Linked DNA regions of Arabidopsis thaliana. The protein of the gene in region 2 interacts with the protein of the main gene of each other region in a biochemical or structural test. Each region holds a gene or a part of one and is shown on either strand. Other genes may lie near its edges.

What was found.
Region 1: the proteins of AHBP-1B (region 2) and SCL14 form a complex in vitro, tested with the Arabidopsis thaliana proteins (one study listed by BioGRID).
Region 3: the proteins of AHBP-1B (region 2) and NPR1 form a complex in vitro, tested with the Arabidopsis thaliana proteins (4 studies listed by BioGRID).

Annotation. Positions count from the first base shown.
Region 1 is NC_003070.9:2,312,193-2,318,859, reverse strand, and holds SCL14 (SCARECROW-like 14), read left to right. Parts: upstream 1-2,352; 5' UTR 2,353-2,551; intron 2,552-2,652; 5' UTR 2,653-2,722; coding exon 2,723-5,032; 3' UTR 5,033-5,279; downstream 5,280-6,667. Other genes in the region: TRFL2 (TRF-like 2), read left to right, coding at 1-6, 105-168, 248-427. UniProt on the Arabidopsis thaliana protein: Probable transcription factor involved in plant development.
Region 2 is NC_003076.8:2,148,920-2,156,113, reverse strand, and holds AHBP-1B (bZIP transcription factor family protein), read right to left. Parts: upstream 5,275-7,194; 5' UTR 4,983-5,274; exon of another isoform or gene 4,979-4,982; intron 4,806-4,978; exon of another isoform or gene 4,317-4,805; intron 4,054-4,316; 5' UTR 3,992-4,053; exon of another isoform or gene 3,988-3,991; intron 3,900-3,987; 5' UTR 3,792-3,899; coding exon 3,726-3,791; intron 3,627-3,725; coding exon 3,555-3,626; intron 3,467-3,554; coding exon 3,407-3,466; intron 3,286-3,406; coding exon 3,208-3,285; intron 3,131-3,207; coding exon 3,079-3,130; intron 2,792-3,078; coding exon 2,520-2,791; intron 2,427-2,519; coding exon 2,181-2,426; intron 2,087-2,180; coding exon 1,940-2,086; 3' UTR 1,528-1,939; downstream 1-1,527. Other genes in the region: OBF5 (OCS-element binding factor 5), read right to left, coding at 2-61, 153-224, 307-372; AT5G06940 (Leucine-rich repeat receptor-like protein kinase family protein), read left to right, coding at 5,343-7,194.
Region 3 is NC_003070.9:23,851,428-23,857,799, reverse strand, and holds NPR1 (regulatory protein (NPR1)), read left to right. Parts: upstream 1-2,141; 5' UTR 2,142-2,392; coding exon 2,393-2,953; intron 2,954-3,032; coding exon 3,033-3,768; intron 3,769-3,876; coding exon 3,877-4,080; intron 4,081-4,190; coding exon 4,191-4,471; 3' UTR 4,472-5,052; downstream 5,053-6,372. Other genes in the region: AT1G64290 (F-box protein-like protein), read left to right, coding at 1-406. UniProt on the Arabidopsis thaliana protein: Salicylic acid (SA)-binding substrate-specific adapter of an E3 ubiquitin-protein ligase complex (CUL3-RBX1-BTB) which mediates the ubiquitination and subsequent proteasomal degradation of target proteins.

The DNA.
Region 1 (6,667 bases), on a different chromosome or scaffold from region 2:
CGGAAGGTAACTAAATTTTTTATGTTCACCAAAGTATAAGACTTAATTTCCATCAATAATTGGTTCAAGATAGTTCTAAGATTGTTGTGCATATCTATCTGCAGGTGGCGTGACGTAAAATTGCGAGCTTTTGATAATGCTAAGCACCGTACTTACGTTGATTTGAAGGTAAAATAAAACTCTCTCCTTACAGTGAATGAGGTCTATGTTTCTTGTGCAAGAAGTAACTAATTTTGGGATTGATTAGGACAAATGGAAGACGCTGGTGCACACAGCAAGAATATCACCGCAACAAAGGAGAGGTGAGCCAGTTCCACAGGAGCTCTTAGACCGGGTACTAACGGCTCATGCCTACTGGTCCCAGCAACAGGGGAAACACCAGTTACTAGAGGGACCCCAGCAGCTCGAGACCAGTCTTGGTCTATAGGCCGGGATTAAATATTATCTTCGCAACGTGATAATGGACGTTAGCAGGATAAACCTGGAATTTATTCGTTCATATATACTTTTTTGTTTGTTTGTTTATCTGTTTTATGCATGTATTTGAGAAGATTCAATGTAAAAAAAAAGGAATGGATTGTGTGGTAAAGAAGAAGAAGAAGAAGAAGATATATAGATGAAGATATGTGAAGTCCTATGTAATTGTCACAGTGCTTGGTTGTAATAAGAGGTTTCTTCCTTTTGGTGCCTTGCAAAATTGAGATCCTGATAAGATTCCTTGACAAGAAAAGGTAGAGTTGATAAGGAGAAAAGGAAACATAACATACGTACCAATAATTATTCACTTTGGCTTTTTGTGGTAATAGCTATGCGACTTTTTTCAATGGCTAAACAGACTTTTTTGGACACTTACAGAAGAAAAGAGAATAAGATGGGAGATACTTTAGGATCTCATAGATCAACCGAGAGAAATAAATGAAGTTGTCATTTTCATTATTTCATATCTTTCTCAAAAGTCGACACCTATCGATGAGTAAACTTTTTTGCTAGCATCGTTTGCTATGTGGCTACGAAAGTAAAAAAAATGGATGTGTTCATGAAGCTACGATTAGTCCAATCTTTTAGTGGGAAGCGAAAGTAAGGTGCAATTAATGTAAGAAATTCATGATATTGCTACAGCGAAATTGTCTTGTTCCAAACTTCCAAGCTTAGCACATCGTCTGATCTCTCAATTTTTTCTTTTGTCTTATTTTGCTTTAAAAGTGCAGTATTTTAAAAATTGTCATTTGCTAGTTCCTAGTATTGTCATAATCTTTGTTGTTGAAATTGTTCAATTATTAGCCAACACTAGAATATTATTATATGTTTTTAAGTAAATTTCAAGATTGGGATACCATTTGTGGACCGAAAGCAACAACACAGTTGCGCTAGCAGTGTCACTAAGGAAGGCCGACATCAATCATATATCGCAAGAGACGGACCTTACTGGCTTCGTTATGTATTCTCTTCGGAATTTATCCTCGTTGTTCTTGGCCATGAATATTTTCTTCCAAGTTTTTTTTGGTCTCTCCAAAGTCCAAACCATCTCTCCCGCATATATTAAGGTTAAGATGATTTTTAAAAAGGAGATAACAAATTTTATAATTGGAATTATTATCTTAGTCGGGTCAACGAAAAACTAGTGAGCAGCCAGGAATGTTGAAATATAAGATATGGGAAGAAAAGTAAAATGACTATGAAATAATAAAGTGTGACTTGTATAACGATTATCAAAACATAATACACAGTAACTTTTTGAATCTCAGGCCATCTTGTGCATATTCCTTAAAATTCTTACGATATTGAGATTGATTTTTTTGGTGGTATGGTATCCATAGAGTGACTTGTATATCTATTTCTTTTCTTGCCAAAAAATTGTTCAATAAATCTATTTTATGTAGTCACTAATCAGTAATCACTGCTGTCAAAAATAAAATAAAATGTAATCACTAATCAGTAATCACTGCTGTCAAAAATAAAATAAAATGTAATCACTAATCAGTAATCATATAGTACGTTATCTTTCTATGAAAGTAACATTGTTTCATTCGTGTACTTTCTAGATTGGTCTCACCACACAAAAATAATGCTGTTTTGGAAAGAAAAGAATCATAAAATCTCATCGCCTTAACATCCTTTACATTATAATTCGTATTCACTAAACTAATTAAATAATAAAATTAATATCTGAAATAAAATTAAAACTAAAGAAATTGATAAATTTCCAAATAAATATCAGTTTCTAGTAAAAGTAAACAATAAACAGTGAAAATTGAAACTTGTCTTGATTCGGAAAGATTCTTTTCAGACAACAGATAGACCCAAGAAGTTGCCTGATCGACTTATATTTCTGAGTGAAATTTAAAAGAAAAGAAAAGAGACAAGGGCATATTCTTTTATATTATCTCTGTAGAGAGAGTAAAAACAATTAATTAGTTCTTATCTTTCATCTGCTTCATCATCTTCTTTCTAGTCTCTCTCTCTCTCTTCACCGCGTACACAGTAACACAGACCCTTTTTCCCTCTTACTCAAGGTTCTTCTTTGTCATCTTGTTGCCGAATCCACAAAGAGGTACGCTTTCTTCTCTGAAATCTCCCTGCTTTGTAATTTTTACTCTCTTCTCTTCTCATCTTCTTCAGTGCTCTGCTTTTTTGGTTTTGGTGATTGATCAGGAGAATAAAGATTCGACCTTTATTAGATATTAACGACTCTGGATTTTTGGGTTTTTGGAGTTGGATCCACATGGGTTCTTATCCGGATGGATTCCCTGGATCCATGGACGAGTTGGATTTCAATAAGGACTTTGATTTGCCTCCCTCCTCAAACCAAACCTTAGGTTTAGCTAATGGGTTCTATTTAGATGACTTAGATTTCTCATCCTTGGATCCTCCAGAGGCATATCCCTCCCAGAACAACAACAACAACAACATCAACAACAAAGCTGTAGCAGGAGATCTGTTATCATCTTCATCTGATGACGCTGATTTCTCTGATTCTGTTTTGAAGTATATAAGCCAAGTTCTTATGGAAGAGGATATGGAAGAGAAGCCTTGTATGTTTCATGACGCTTTGGCTCTTCAAGCTGCTGAGAAATCTCTCTATGAGGCTCTTGGTGAGAAATACCCTTCTTCGTCTTCTGCTTCTTCTGTGGATCATCCTGAGAGATTGGCTAGTGATAGCCCTGACGGTTCTTGTTCAGGTGGTGCTTTTAGTGATTACGCTAGCACCACTACCACTACTTCCTCTGATTCTCACTGGAGTGTTGATGGTTTGGAGAATAGACCTTCTTGGTTACATACACCTATGCCGAGTAATTTTGTTTTCCAGTCTACTTCTAGGTCCAACAGTGTCACCGGTGGTGGTGGTGGTGGTAATAGTGCGGTTTACGGTTCAGGTTTTGGCGATGATTTGGTTTCGAATATGTTTAAAGATGATGAATTGGCTATGCAGTTCAAGAAAGGGGTTGAGGAAGCTAGTAAGTTCCTTCCTAAGTCTTCTCAGCTCTTTATTGATGTGGATAGTTACATCCCTATGAATTCTGGTTCCAAGGAAAATGGTTCTGAGGTTTTTGTTAAGACGGAGAAGAAAGATGAGACAGAGCATCATCATCATCATAGCTATGCTCCTCCTCCCAACAGATTAACTGGTAAGAAAAGCCATTGGCGCGACGAAGATGAAGATTTCGTTGAAGAAAGAAGTAACAAGCAATCAGCTGTTTATGTTGAGGAAAGCGAGCTTTCTGAAATGTTTGATAAGATCTTGGTATGTGGCCCTGGGAAACCTGTATGCATTCTTAACCAGAACTTTCCTACAGAATCCGCTAAAGTCGTGACCGCACAGTCAAATGGAGCAAAGATTCGTGGGAAGAAATCAACTTCTACTAGTCATAGTAACGATTCTAAGAAAGAAACTGCTGATTTGAGGACTCTTTTGGTGTTATGTGCACAAGCTGTATCAGTGGATGATCGTAGAACCGCCAACGAAATGCTAAGGCAGATACGAGAGCATTCTTCGCCTCTAGGCAATGGTTCAGAGCGGTTGGCTCATTATTTTGCAAATAGTCTTGAAGCACGCTTAGCTGGGACCGGTACACAGATCTACACCGCTTTATCTTCGAAGAAAACGTCTGCAGCAGACATGTTGAAGGCTTACCAGACATACATGTCGGTCTGCCCTTTCAAGAAAGCTGCTATCATATTTGCTAACCACAGCATGATGCGTTTCACTGCAAACGCCAACACGATCCACATAATAGATTTCGGAATATCTTACGGTTTTCAGTGGCCTGCTCTGATTCATCGCCTCTCGCTCAGCAGACCTGGTGGTTCGCCTAAGCTTCGAATTACCGGTATAGAGCTTCCTCAGCGCGGTTTTAGACCAGCGGAAGGAGTTCAGGAGACAGGTCATCGCTTGGCTCGATACTGTCAGCGACACAATGTTCCGTTTGAGTACAACGCAATTGCTCAGAAATGGGAAACGATCCAAGTCGAAGACTTAAAGCTTCGACAAGGAGAGTATGTGGTTGTGAACTCTTTGTTCCGTTTCAGGAACCTTCTAGATGAGACCGTTCTGGTAAACAGCCCGAGAGATGCAGTTTTGAAGCTGATAAGAAAAATAAACCCGAATGTCTTCATTCCAGCGATCTTAAGCGGGAATTACAACGCGCCATTCTTTGTCACGAGGTTCAGAGAAGCGTTGTTTCATTACTCGGCTGTGTTTGATATGTGTGACTCGAAGCTAGCTAGGGAAGACGAGATGAGGCTGATGTATGAGAAAGAGTTTTATGGGAGAGAGATTGTGAATGTTGTGGCTTGTGAAGGAACAGAGAGAGTGGAGAGACCAGAGACATATAAGCAGTGGCAGGCGAGACTGATCCGAGCCGGATTTAGACAGCTTCCGCTTGAGAAGGAACTGATGCAGAATCTGAAGTTGAAAATCGAAAACGGGTACGATAAAAACTTCGATGTTGATCAAAACGGTAACTGGTTACTTCAAGGGTGGAAAGGTAGAATCGTGTATGCTTCATCTCTATGGGTTCCTTCGTCTTCATAGATGTTGTTTCTTACGTTCTAAGCGACTGGGATTTATGTAGGGCTTTTCTGTTGATAGTCTCTCGCCAACACGAGTGGATTAAGTTCAGAGTTAGGGTTCTTGAACACTAGAATGTTGTTATATTATGCTTGTGACATAGCGTGTGTAAGAGTGTAGCCTAAGAGATATAGTACTCATTGCATGATCTTTTGCTATATGTTCATGTAATCTTTTGTTGCATAAATAATGAAAAGTTACATTTTTTTCAGTGTCTTGTTTATACAGTTCTATTGCAGAGTGTGACATCTCGTCATCTCGTACTACAAAACACACCGAAAAGTAGATAATCATGTACTAGGACGACATAATCAGAAATAATAATGAAAACTTTAAAACCTGGAAAGTGAAAACCCCTATGAAAGCCTACTAGTACTAATCAGAAGTATTACATCATTTTAACTAAAGTCTTACAATTATTGATTGAACAACAAACAACAAACAACAAACAATAATTTCAAAATCAAACAAATAATCCATCCAATAAACTTTCCTAACTATTATATCCAGGATTTGTTTATAACGCCGAAAGAGTTGAATATTTATTTGGAGACAGAAAAATATAGTTACTCAAAAACGTGACACCCACTCAATTTCGAGTTTTTCTGACATAAAAGTATTTCTTCATGTACTAGTACAATAATACGTGGTGAGAATCTCACAATATATGTCAGAATGGCATTGTGGGATCAGATCTGGAGGGGTCCTTTTCACTTTCTTGTGTTTATTTATTGTCGCTGTTCTATATAATTATTACGATGAAGTCACTTTATGTTATCATATTTCGTTTGTTTGTTGATATAGTATTCATCAGCTAACATCAACTATTTTTTAAATAATTCGTACTGGTCAAATAATCAACTCCACCTATCAGGAACCTTTAATAATCTTGCTCTCCAAGTTTTACATATGATTTTTTGTCAACTTGAAACTGTTGGAATCACATATTTATTTTATATGCAAACACATTTGACTTTACATCAAAATAATAATAATCATAAAACAAGAGTTGATCAAGTAACATATACATAATTTTGATATAGACACCATCTAAAAGCGGCCGGAATATGTAATTTAGAAATTTTGTTAGTATTTTTAGAATCCAAGATCGTACATATGTAAATCAAAAACATCACTTCTATGGTTCACATAATTATAAATTAATAATTTGTACGGTTTGACCGCATCTATTATATATATAAAAAAATGTCTAACATATCCCAAATGAGAAGCATCTCGAGCTATTTATAAAATACTATACAAATTTTAAAAATCAGTAAGTACACTTGTTGTTATTAAGAAAATAATGATCCTAAGTAACTCGTCGACATATTCAATTTTGGCAACTACTTTCTTGAAGCAAACAAAATTATAAGCTAGTATCAACAAACATATGGATCATTTAAGCTTCGATAAGCGGTCAACATATGGGGGAATTAGGAGACAAATCACTACTTAAAAAGAACCACTAGTCATTACTTTTTGTGGATAACATGACAATCACTACAATAAAAACTGGGCCCATCAAGCCCAAGAATACTCTTAATGACAAGTCAAAAGAGAGATAGTTTTGAGTTTTGACTCCTCGGACGAATCGCA
Region 2 (7,194 bases):
CTTTCTTCCTCAATCTGCTTTTCCTTGCAGCCTCACGGTTTTGAGCGAGCCTACGAAGCGTCTGTTGATTACAACAACAAACAAGAAAAACATAACTGAAAGGCTCAATGACAAAAACCAAACTCTTGCAAAATAGAGATGTTTATATTCACCTTTTGATCCATTTTACTCTTTGAACGGTCACTAGAATCAGAAGCACCGATACCCAAATGCCCTTCATCGAACTGCATAAATACTGTTTTATTTCAAAACTTTGGCCATTTAATGAACATAAAGAAGCAAGACCTAGAAATTTTACAAGCTAACCATTAGGTTATTATGATCAGTGTCTCCATCTGTTGAGACTGATGTTCTTGGACTAGTATCTCCCATTTTTCTTTTTCTTCAAAATCTCTGTTACTAAATCATCAGATAAAAACCGATCCAATCGTGGTACCCTAGATGGAGTAAAGACTGTCAAAAGTAAGATGGTAAACATAAACAAAAGATTAGAGTTATAGAGAAAGAAAACATATTTTTAAGCCAAAAACCAACGCATTAAGTAGAATCAAGAAAGTGGAAACAATGATACGATACATCACCCTATTTATGTCACACTAACATAAAGATCCAAACCACTAAACTTAACACATAGCTGTGAAGCAACCAATGACCTCAAGAACTTTGAGTATTCAAAGCCAGAGAATCAAAGTAAACAATAAGCACGCCTATATGATTTGAAATGAGAACCAACGGACTTCTATAGCGTAAAGCTCTCCGTGAGGTGAAACAGTAACTAATCTGAACATTAGACTGAAGTAGAGCTAAAAGATTCAGAATTTAGCAAACTAGCCCCGGAAACAGAGTAAAAGACACAAAATTCAAGCTTCATAACATCAAATCTCAACCAATTCGTTTAAATAGTGTCCGAAATAATGATTTTGGATCCTTAACACGTACATAAAGCAAAAAGGAAAAAATTCCCTCAAAGGTCAAAATCTTCAATGGAAAAAAACAATCATGAAAGCAGAGGCAGAATAAGAAAACTGAAGAACTAAAACCCCTAAGACTATTGAAGAAGAGACTCACCTGAAAAGAACGGATTCTTTGAGCTTAACCCCAAACAAAAGTTGCTCGGAGAAAAAGCGATTTAGAGAAAGATCCGGAAAATTCCAATCTACAACTGCAAAGACGTGGTCTTTGTCTAAAACCCACAACAGATATAGTATCAATCACCAACAAAGGTTACTACTTTTGTATCTTCCTTCTTTGAGGTATTTTTAGTTGTACGATCTTCTTTTTTTTTATTTTGCCGGTCTCTGAAAAAAAACAGGAATGGAAGACGAAACTCAAGTGATGGTGGACCTCTAGATGCTGAGGGTTAAAAAGTCCTCTGAAAATTGCAACACTCTCTTTTTTCTAAAAACAAAATAATTCTTGGTTTTGACAATGACATGTCCCTTTTTTTATTACAAAAAAATCTATCACACTTACTTTGAATGTAAATTCATTTTCATCATCTCTTGGAAGTTTACATTAGAATCCTCACTAAATAAGATTTAAGACACAAGCGATGAAACTACAAAACTCAAATAGAACATCTTAATATTGTTAAATGATTACAGTACAGAAGTTGCAAGGTTAAAACACCTTTACCACACACAAAAGTAACAAAAAAAAACAAAATTCAATAACCTTTCTAAGATAATCGAAGATGCTATATAAACAACATTGAACTTTTCAAATGCTAAATTAAAAACTGATGACTACAACTAAAACAACATGAATTACCACAACCATGTAGAAGAAACCTACATACAAAGAGTCTTTTGTTTCCCAGAAATTTGCTTATTTGTTGATGGATTTGGTAAGAAGAATCTGACAAGTGTTGATTAATAGTCTCTCCTGGTTTTGTGTCCATATGGATTTTGTACAGCTGACATGTGACCAAAATACAGTTTCACTCTCTGGGTCGAGCAAGCCATAAGGAGCTTAGAGCTCGTAGCCGTGAGAAGTAATCGTGTATTGCAAGTAGAGCACGTGCTGACTGTCTCGTTGTTAATACTCTTATCATCTGTTGCAATGTTTGTAGTCTCAAATTATCAGCCTGCCACCACCAACCAAGAGACGATTATTAACCTATTGATATATATATATACTCTTAACTAAGATATCATCTCAAAACATCACAAGTGTTGTACCTGGCGGATAAATCCTTCGAGTGTACCTAACTTTCCCATTGCCATGGCCATCTGACCCATGTAGCTTGCGACATTCCCTGATGAACTTGAACCAAGAGTCCCGCTCGATAAAGTATCAGCTAGTGACTGTTGTAAGCTCTCCATCCCTTGAGACAAAGCATCTTCAGCCTGCTGCGATGTCTGTTGCAGGTTATTTATGCCCATCAACTGTCTCTCTGTCATTGGCTCCAACTGATTCGCCAGAAGCTGTTTCAACACATTTTTCCCTATGACCATTCTTTTTATGTTCTATGTAGAAACAGATGCAATCGGTGAAGACAAAGTGAAATTTGACCTCACCTTTAGAAGTTCGGATGAACGAAATCCACCGAGCCACAAGAAACATCTCTCAGCTGGTGTTTTCCACATGCCAGATAGCAAGTGAAAGACATCATTCTTAGCTGCATTGCTCTTTATCCTGAAAAGCTCCTCATAGTGAGCCATCACACCATCGACTATTATTCGAAGCTCAGAATCACCTGCATGCGCATTCAGAGCAGACCTCAGCTCGTTCATTTGCTTGTTCTTTTCTTCCAACCACCGTGAATGTTCAGCATCAAACGCCAAAGCACCTGAATTAAAAAATTTATACATGATCAAAACAAACCCATGAGATTCGTCATCTTGTAAATCTAAATCTACACCAGTGCTAATTAGAATAACAGTTTTTGCTATCAGAACCATGTCAGTCTGCCACTGACTCTGATAACCCAGTGTATTGTAATGGGATGAGATATGATGTACTAATTGATCAGTCTACACCAAGTCAACAGGAAGTTGATATATGAACTTAACTTATACACAAATTAGAAGCCAAAAAATAAACATAATTAAAACTAATGGAGAATAAGCAACCAACCATTTCCACCAGTAGAATGGGCCTGGTCTCCTGTGCCTGAAATGAAGACGCCCTAGAAACAAGAAATTTACCGTTAGGTATACAGAATAACAAAATAAAAATCAATAGAAATAAGAAACAAATTTGAACCTGCTGTCTTGCTCTTTGCAGCTCCTGCTCAAGCTGGGTTAGTTTCAAGCGGCTGTTCTCTAGCTGCTGAACATAAGCCTATGGAGGGAGCAATTAAAAGGAATTAACGTAGTACCAAATAGCTATGCTTCTAGCGATGCACCAATTTAAAAAGAAAAGAAAAAGTAAAAAAAGATAAAACCAATGGAAGGTAATATACCTTCTTCCTCAATCTGCTTTTCCTTGCTGCCTCACGGTTTTGAGCAAGCCTACGAAGAGTCTATGGATCAAAATATAAGGAAACAAAAAGAGATTATAAATTGGCTGAATAAAAACAGTGATCTTATCTACAGAGATGGACATGTCACCTTTTGATCCATCTTTCCCTTCGATCGGTCACTCGAATCAGAAGCAGCAGTATTCACTAGTGCTCCCTCCGACTGCATTAAAATTAACACCAGAATTTTTGTTTGGTCCATAAAAAATCACACTATTTTGAAGAATATAAGTGATAAAATCTAGCCAGATTATGAGCTAACCCCAAGATCAGGATGATCTGTGTCGTCATCTGTTGAGACATCAGTTCTCGGACTGGTATCAGCCATATTACTTTCTCACCACTTTTCTGTACTAACACTTGATAACAAAGACAATATCCACTTGTGGCCTCTCTTTTAGTAACAACTTCTTGAAATTTCTCTTGTGTGCACAGACTGCCAGGATTCGGAAGGAAATTAAGAAAAAGAAAAAAAGACAGAAAGAACAAAATTAGGTGATAGAATATAAAAGAAAGATCAACACCTACCAATACGAATCAATAGGAAATGAATCAGGAACAAATGTTGGTCACCCGGAGCATTGGCTGCGCTGAATGAGCACAAAAAAAAACAGCATTACATACCATCTCTTTTGCTAACATAGTTTTCAATTATGTCCTATAAAGTCAAGAAAAAGGTTCTCTAGTTTGTTTCAGTTAAACAAGCCAGCTAAAGAATGCTAAAGAGTCCTTTACTTATTCAAAGTGTCCTAAGGGAAATTCTGCTGACTACCATAAGTCACAAAGTCAAATATATAAGAACAATCTGTTTGTAGCTAACAGACTGACAAAAATAGCCCATCAAAAACACAACCTTTAAAGCAATTCATCAAACCCAATCAGACATGTAGCTTGCACAATCTACAAAGTCTGAGAAACTCATTCAGACCTTAAGCTTAGCTCGCGGATCAAAGTCAAAATCAGTGAGACTTAAGGTGTTGGCACAGTCGAAAATGCCTGAGTTTGAAAAATTAGGTACAGTCACACTCACACACATCATTTCAATTCAGTTTGAATGACACTAAAGTAGCTTCAGTAGCTGAATCTCTTAGTTTTGCAACTCTAGCTAGAACAAAAACTATTCAGTATTCACATCCGAGTTGACTCAATTCCTTACTCAGTATTCATATCCGAGTAAAGTAAAAAAAAAAAGCTAAACTCTAAATCTAGAACCAGTGAGAATTCGGCATGAAGCTGCAGCTATGATTTCAAACCAAGAAACTACCACCGAAACAGAATTCAAGAGATTAACATTTAATTCGATGATTTTGGTAGCTCAAAATTAAGAACAAAATCACCAATTAAAAAAAAAAAAAAGCTGAACTCTTTAAGCTTGAGAAAGTCAACTAGGTTTAACTTCAAAAGCAAAAAGACAGAGTTAACAAGTAGCTTCTTAGGACTGTGAAGGAGAAAACTCCCAGAAAAAAAACAAAGGAAGAAAAACCCTAGAAAAAAAGGTTGGCTTGATGAAGAAACTGACCTGGAAAAACGAAATCTTGAAGGTGCACAAGTAAAGGGCTTGATTCGAAATCGGATTGAAACAAAGAAACAGAGAGAGACACGATCCGAAATTCCAATCTCCGAGACGTCGTTTTGTCTACAAATCTACCAGTTCCCCATAGACCCTCGACCAAAATTTAACGGGAAATTTCAAACTAAACCCTATACTCTTTATTTTTACCATTAACCAACCCTACTATCTTATAATTGCAAAACCCACCCCGTATTTTCAACACCTGAAATTCAATTCACTCTCACTCTCACTCTCACTCTCACTCTCACTCTCTCACTACTTCACTCATTCAGCAGATCCTCTTCATTCTCTATTCTTAACTCATTAATGGCTACCAGATTCAAGCACCAGTTTTCAATCTCACTAGCCTTGACATTCTTCTTCTTCTTCACCAAGACCTTCTCTTTCACAGAGAACGAGGAACTTGGTAACCTTCTCAGATTCAAAGCCTCCTTTGATGATCCAAAAGGCTCTCTTTCAGGTTGGTTTAACACTTCTTCTTCGCACCATTGTAACTGGACTGGTATCACATGTACTAGAGCTCCTACTCTTTACGTCTCTTCCATTAACCTTCAAAGTTTGAATCTTTCTGGTGAAATCTCTGACTCCATTTGTGACCTCCCTTACCTCACTCACCTTGACCTCTCCTTGAACTTCTTCAATCAGCCTATCCCACTTCAGTTGTCTCGTTGTGTTACTTTAGAGACTCTTAATCTCAGCTCTAATCTCATCTGGGGCACAATCCCTGATCAGATTTCTGAGTTTAGTTCCTTGAAAGTTATTGACTTTAGCAGTAACCATGTCGAAGGTATGATTCCAGAAGATTTAGGGTTATTGTTTAATCTCCAAGTTCTCAACTTGGGAAGTAATTTGCTCACTGGTATCGTCCCTCCTGCTATTGGGAAGCTAAGTGAGCTTGTTGTTCTTGATTTGTCTGAAAACAGCTATTTGGTTAGTGAGATTCCTTCTTTTCTTGGGAAGCTAGACAAGCTTGAACAGCTTCTGTTGCATAGGTCAGGGTTCCATGGAGAGATTCCTACTTCGTTTGTTGGTTTGACAAGTTTGAGAACCTTGGATCTGAGTTTGAACAACCTGAGTGGTGAGATTCCTCGATCATTAGGCCCTTCTCTCAAGAACTTAGTGTCTCTTGATGTCTCACAGAATAAGTTATCTGGCTCTTTCCCTAGTGGCATTTGCAGTGGTAAAAGGCTTATTAACCTTTCTCTCCACTCGAATTTCTTTGAAGGGTCATTGCCTAACTCCATTGGTGAATGCCTTAGTCTGGAGAGGCTTCAAGTGCAGAACAATGGATTTTCTGGTGAGTTTCCAGTTGTGTTGTGGAAATTACCCAGGATTAAGATTATTAGAGCGGATAATAATCGGTTCACAGGTCAAGTGCCAGAGTCTGTGTCTTTGGCTTCTGCATTGGAGCAAGTTGAGATAGTCAACAATTCCTTTTCTGGTGAAATCCCACATGGTCTTGGATTGGTTAAGAGCTTGTATAAGTTTTCTGCTTCACAAAACCGGTTTAGTGGAGAGTTACCGCCGAATTTTTGCGACTCACCTGTCCTTAGTATTGTAAACATCTCTCACAATAGGCTCTTAGGAAAGATCCCAGAACTGAAAAACTGCAAGAAGCTTGTCTCTTTGTCTCTAGCAGGCAATGCATTCACCGGAGAAATCCCGCCATCACTTGCTGATTTACATGTTCTGACCTATCTTGATCTATCTGATAATAGTCTTACTGGTTTGATCCCTCAAGGCTTACAGAACCTAAAGCTTGCTCTTTTTAACGTGTCATTCAATGGATTATCAGGTGAGGTACCTCACTCTCTGGTCTCCGGGTTACCAGCTTCCTTTCTGCAAGGAAATCCTGAGCTTTGTGGACCCGGTTTACCCAATTCTTGCTCCTCTGATCGGTCTAACTTCCATAAAAAAGGTGGTAAAGCGTTGGTGTTATCTTTGATATGTTTAGCACTTGCTATTGCCACTTTCCTTGCGGTGTTATATCGTTATTCTCGAAAGAAAGTGCAATTCAAGAGTACTTGGCGCTCGGAGTTTTATTATCCCTTCAAGTTAACTGAGCATGAGTTGATGAAAGTGGTGAATGAAAGTTGTCCTTCCGGAAGTGAAGTATACGTTCTCAGTTTATCTAGTGGGGAGTTATTAGCTGTGAAGA
Region 3 (6,372 bases), on a different chromosome or scaffold from region 2:
TTGTCTCAAAACCGAAACTTGGTCCTTCTTCCATACTCCGAACTCTGATGTTTTCTCAGGATTAGTCAGATACGAAGGGAAGCTAGGTGCTATTCGTCAGTGGACAAACAAAGATCAAGAAGATGTTCACGAGTTATGGGTTTTAAAGAGCAGTTTTGAAAAGTCGTGGGTTAAAGTGAAAGATATTAAAAGCATTGGAGTAGATTTGATTACGTGGACTCCAAGCAACGACGTTGTATTGTTTCGTAGTAGTGATCGTGGTTGCCTCTACAACATAAACGCAGAGAAGTTGAATTTAGTTTATGCAAAAAAAGAGGGATCTGATTGTTCTTTCGTTTGTTTTCCGTTTTGTTCTGATTACGAGAGGGTTGATCTGAACGGAAGAAGCAACGGGCCGACACTTTAAAAAAAAAATAAAAAAAATGGGCCGACAAATGCAAACGTAGTTGACAAGGATCTCAAGTCTCAAGTCTCAATTGGCTCGCTCATTGTGGGGCATAAATATATCTAGTGATGTTTAATTGTTTTTTATAAGGTAAAAAGGAATATTGAATTTTGTTTCTTAGGTTTATGTAATAATACCAAACATTGTTTTATGAATATTTAATCTGATTTTTTGGCTAGTTATTTTATTATATCAAGGGTTCCTGTTTATAGTTGAAAACAGTTACTGTATAGAAAATAGTGTCCCAATTTTCTCTCTTAAATAATATATTAGTTAATAAAAGATATTTTAATATATTAGATATACAATAATATCTAAAGCAACACATATTTAGACACAACACGTAATATCTTACTATTGTTTACATATATTTATAGCTTACCAATATAACCCGTATCTATGTTTTATAAGCTTTTATACAATATATGTACGGTATGCTGTCCACGTATATATATTCTCCAAAAAAAACGCATGGTACACAAAATTTATTAAATATTTGGCAATTGGGTGTTTATCTAAAGTTTATCACAATATTTATCAACTATAATAGATGGTAGAAGATAAAAAAATTATATCAGATTGATTCAATTAAATTTTATAATATATCATTTTAAAAAATTAATTAAAAGAAAACTATTTCATAAAATTGTTCAAAAGATAATTAGTAAAATTAATTAAATATGTGATGCTATTGAGTTATAGAGAGTTATTGTAAATTTACTTAAAATCATACAAATCTTATCCTAATTTAACTTATCATTTAAGAAATACAAAAGTAAAAAACGCGGAAAGCAATAATTTATTTACCTTATTATAACTCCTATATAAAGTACTCTGTTTATTCAACATAATCTTACGTTGTTGTATTCATAGGCATCTTTAACCTATCTTTTCATTTTCTGATCTCGATCGTTTTCGATCCAACAAAATGAGTCTACCGGTGAGGAACCAAGAGGTGATTATGCAGATTCCTTCTTCTTCTCAGTTTCCAGCAACATCGAGTCCGGAAAACACCAATCAAGTGAAGGATGAGCCAAATTTGTTTAGACGTGTTATGAATTTGCTTTTACGTCGTAGTTATTGAAAAAGCTGATTTATCGCATGATTCAGAACGAGAAGTTGAAGGCAAATAACTAAAGAAGTCTTTTATATGTATACAATAATTGTTTTTAAATCAAATCCTAATTAAAAAAATATATTCATTATGACTTTCATGTTTTTAATGTAATTTATTCCTATATCTATAATGATTTTGTTGTGAAGAGCGTTTTCATTTGCTATAGAACAAGGAGAATAGTTCCAGGAAATATTCGACTTGATTTAATTATAGTGTAAACATGCTGAACACTGAAAATTACTTTTTCAATAAACGAAAAATATAATATACATTACAAAACTTATGTGAATAAAGCATGAAACTTAATATACGTTCCCTTTATCATTTTACTTCAAAGAAAATAAACAGAAATGTAACTTTCACATGTAAATCTAATTCTTAAATTTAAAAAATAATATTTATATATTTATATGAAAATAACGAACCGGATGAAAAATAAATTTTATATATTTATATCATCTCCAAATCTAGTTTGGTTCAGGGGCTTACCGAACCGGATTGAACTTCTCATATACAAAAATTAGCAACACAAAATGTCTCCGGTATAAATACTAACATTTATAACCCGAACCGGTTTAGCTTCCTGTTATATCTTTTTAAAAAAGATCTCTGACAAAGATTCCTTTCCTGGAAATTTACCGGTTTTGGTGAAATGTAAACCGTGGGACGAGGATGCTTCTTCATATCTCACCACCACTCTCGTTGACTTGACTTGGCTCTGCTCGTCAATGGTTATCTTCGATCTTTAACCAAATCCAGTTGATAAGGTCTCTTCGTTGATTAGCAGAGATCTCTTTAATTTGTGAATTTCAATTCATCGGAACCTGTTGATGGACACCACCATTGATGGATTCGCCGATTCTTATGAAATCAGCAGCACTAGTTTCGTCGCTACCGATAACACCGACTCCTCTATTGTTTATCTGGCCGCCGAACAAGTACTCACCGGACCTGATGTATCTGCTCTGCAATTGCTCTCCAACAGCTTCGAATCCGTCTTTGACTCGCCGGATGATTTCTACAGCGACGCTAAGCTTGTTCTCTCCGACGGCCGGGAAGTTTCTTTCCACCGGTGCGTTTTGTCAGCGAGAAGCTCTTTCTTCAAGAGCGCTTTAGCCGCCGCTAAGAAGGAGAAAGACTCCAACAACACCGCCGCCGTGAAGCTCGAGCTTAAGGAGATTGCCAAGGATTACGAAGTCGGTTTCGATTCGGTTGTGACTGTTTTGGCTTATGTTTACAGCAGCAGAGTGAGACCGCCGCCTAAAGGAGTTTCTGAATGCGCAGACGAGAATTGCTGCCACGTGGCTTGCCGGCCGGCGGTGGATTTCATGTTGGAGGTTCTCTATTTGGCTTTCATCTTCAAGATCCCTGAATTAATTACTCTCTATCAGGTAAAACACCATCTGCATTAAGCTATGGTTACACATTCATGAATATGTTCTTACTTGAGTACTTGTATTTGTATTTCAGAGGCACTTATTGGACGTTGTAGACAAAGTTGTTATAGAGGACACATTGGTTATACTCAAGCTTGCTAATATATGTGGTAAAGCTTGTATGAAGCTATTGGATAGATGTAAAGAGATTATTGTCAAGTCTAATGTAGATATGGTTAGTCTTGAAAAGTCATTGCCGGAAGAGCTTGTTAAAGAGATAATTGATAGACGTAAAGAGCTTGGTTTGGAGGTACCTAAAGTAAAGAAACATGTCTCGAATGTACATAAGGCACTTGACTCGGATGATATTGAGTTAGTCAAGTTGCTTTTGAAAGAGGATCACACCAATCTAGATGATGCGTGTGCTCTTCATTTCGCTGTTGCATATTGCAATGTGAAGACCGCAACAGATCTTTTAAAACTTGATCTTGCCGATGTCAACCATAGGAATCCGAGGGGATATACGGTGCTTCATGTTGCTGCGATGCGGAAGGAGCCACAATTGATACTATCTCTATTGGAAAAAGGTGCAAGTGCATCAGAAGCAACTTTGGAAGGTAGAACCGCACTCATGATCGCAAAACAAGCCACTATGGCGGTTGAATGTAATAATATCCCGGAGCAATGCAAGCATTCTCTCAAAGGCCGACTATGTGTAGAAATACTAGAGCAAGAAGACAAACGAGAACAAATTCCTAGAGATGTTCCTCCCTCTTTTGCAGTGGCGGCCGATGAATTGAAGATGACGCTGCTCGATCTTGAAAATAGAGGTATCTATCAAGTCTTATTTCTTATATGTTTGAATTAAATTTATGTCCTCTCTATTAGGAAACTGAGTGAACTAATGATAACTATTCTTTGTGTCGTCCACTGTTTAGTTGCACTTGCTCAACGTCTTTTTCCAACGGAAGCACAAGCTGCAATGGAGATCGCCGAAATGAAGGGAACATGTGAGTTCATAGTGACTAGCCTCGAGCCTGACCGTCTCACTGGTACGAAGAGAACATCACCGGGTGTAAAGATAGCACCTTTCAGAATCCTAGAAGAGCATCAAAGTAGACTAAAAGCGCTTTCTAAAACCGGTATGGATTCTCACCCACTTCATCGGACTCCTTATCACAAAAAACAAAACTAAATGATCTTTAAACATGGTTTTGTTACTTGCTGTCTGACCTTGTTTTTTTATCATCAGTGGAACTCGGGAAACGATTCTTCCCGCGCTGTTCGGCAGTGCTCGACCAGATTATGAACTGTGAGGACTTGACTCAACTGGCTTGCGGAGAAGACGACACTGCTGAGAAACGACTACAAAAGAAGCAAAGGTACATGGAAATACAAGAGACACTAAAGAAGGCCTTTAGTGAGGACAATTTGGAATTAGGAAATTCGTCCCTGACAGATTCGACTTCTTCCACATCGAAATCAACCGGTGGAAAGAGGTCTAACCGTAAACTCTCTCATCGTCGTCGGTGAGACTCTTGCCTCTTAGTGTAATTTTTGCTGTACCATATAATTCTGTTTTCATGATGACTGTAACTGTTTATGTCTATCGTTGGCGTCATATAGTTTCGCTCTTCGTTTTGCATCCTGTGTATTATTGCTGCAGGTGTGCTTCAAACAAATGTTGTAACAATTTGAACCAATGGTATACAGATTTGTAATATATATTTATGTACATCAACAATAACCCATGATGGTGTTACAGAGTTGCTAGAATCAAAGTGTGAAATAATGTCAAATTGTTCATCTGTTGGATATTTTCCACCAAGAACCAAAAGAATATTCAAGTTCCCTGAACTTCTGGCAACATTCATGTTATATGTATCTTCCTAATTCTTCCTTTAACCTTTTGTAACTCGAATTACACAGCAAGTTAGTTTCAGGTCTAGAGATAAGAGAACACTGAGTGGGCGTGTAAGGTGCATTCTCCTAGTCAGCTCCATTGCATCCAACATTTGTGAATGACACAAGTTAACAATCCTTTGCACCATTTCTGGGTGCATACATGGAAACTTCTTCGATTGAAACTTCCCACATGTGCAGGTGCGTTCGCTGTCACTGATAGACCAAGAGACTGAAAGCTTTCACAAATTGCCCTCAAATCTTCTGTTTCTATCGTCATGACTCCATATCTCCGACCACTGGTCATGAGCCAGAGCCCACTGATTTTGAGGGAATTGGGCTAACCATTTCCGAGCTTCTGAGTCCTTCTTTTTGATGTCCTTTATGTAGGAATCAAATTCTTCCTTCTGACTTGTGGATCCAGCCTGCTTCACAAGGCTCACCAGGTTGTAGTCTCCAAAAATATCATGGAATTGTAAGCAAAAACAATCCAGACAGAACCTGTGATAGACCCAAGGTTCTTGCCACAGTGATCCGGGTTCGTTAATAACAGCAACTATGTCCGGGTGAGGACTGGAGACGAGGCAAACGTCTTTCCTTTGTGTTACCTTCTCTCTGATATTAGTGAGAAACCAACGCCAACTATCAGTGGACACTTCTTTGGTAAGCGGAAAGGCAAGCGGGAAAAAGCAATCATCAGCGTCGAGTCCTGAGGAAATCATCAATTTCATAGGGTACTTGCCGTTCAAGTCTTTTGAATCCACTATGATCAGAGGTCTACAGTGTTGAAACCCTTCAATGGACTGTGGAAACGCCCAAAACGCGCCACCGAAGGATGCAAATTCAGGATTAGGGAAAAGCTCATATTGCAGTCCACAAGTAGCCCATTAGATGAGTGAAATGCAGCCAATTAGTTTAGGCAATACTCTGAAACTCTGATCTTTGATTACTTCCTGTTCTGCTGCCCGCAGCTTTGAAGTTTTAAGCATGTCACCAAACTTTTCAACTCTGCTGTTAGAGTGGGTTGTACCCTGATCAGACACTCAATCTCTTCTGCTGCAAATTACAAGTTGAAGTTTTCCGGCTTAATAGAACAACAAGTATGTGGACCAACTACACTTAGTTATCTTAACAAGTCCATGTTCTTCTATTCAATCTGCCCGACGCGACCAATTGCATTTCCATCTGATGCATTTAAACGTATACTCGTCCTTCTCAATCTCTTGTACTACACACTTTTGCTGCCCTCTAATGGAACACCAGTCCACCGCCTTCTTCAGCTCATCCCTATCTTTAAAACACAACCCTACACGCAATTCATGATCATCAATCCACAAACTAGACAAAGTACACTGTTTTGAAGCACTCGAATCAACAACACCTTTACTTAATAAGCACGCATACGGTAATACCTCTAAGCCTGGCACATTCAAACCTTGTGTGCATCATCTGAACCCGAGTTTTTATCCGTTATTTCTCCATCCCCACCTCCACGAGTGCTACCATTTCCGAAGTCAGAATTTTCCTCGTCT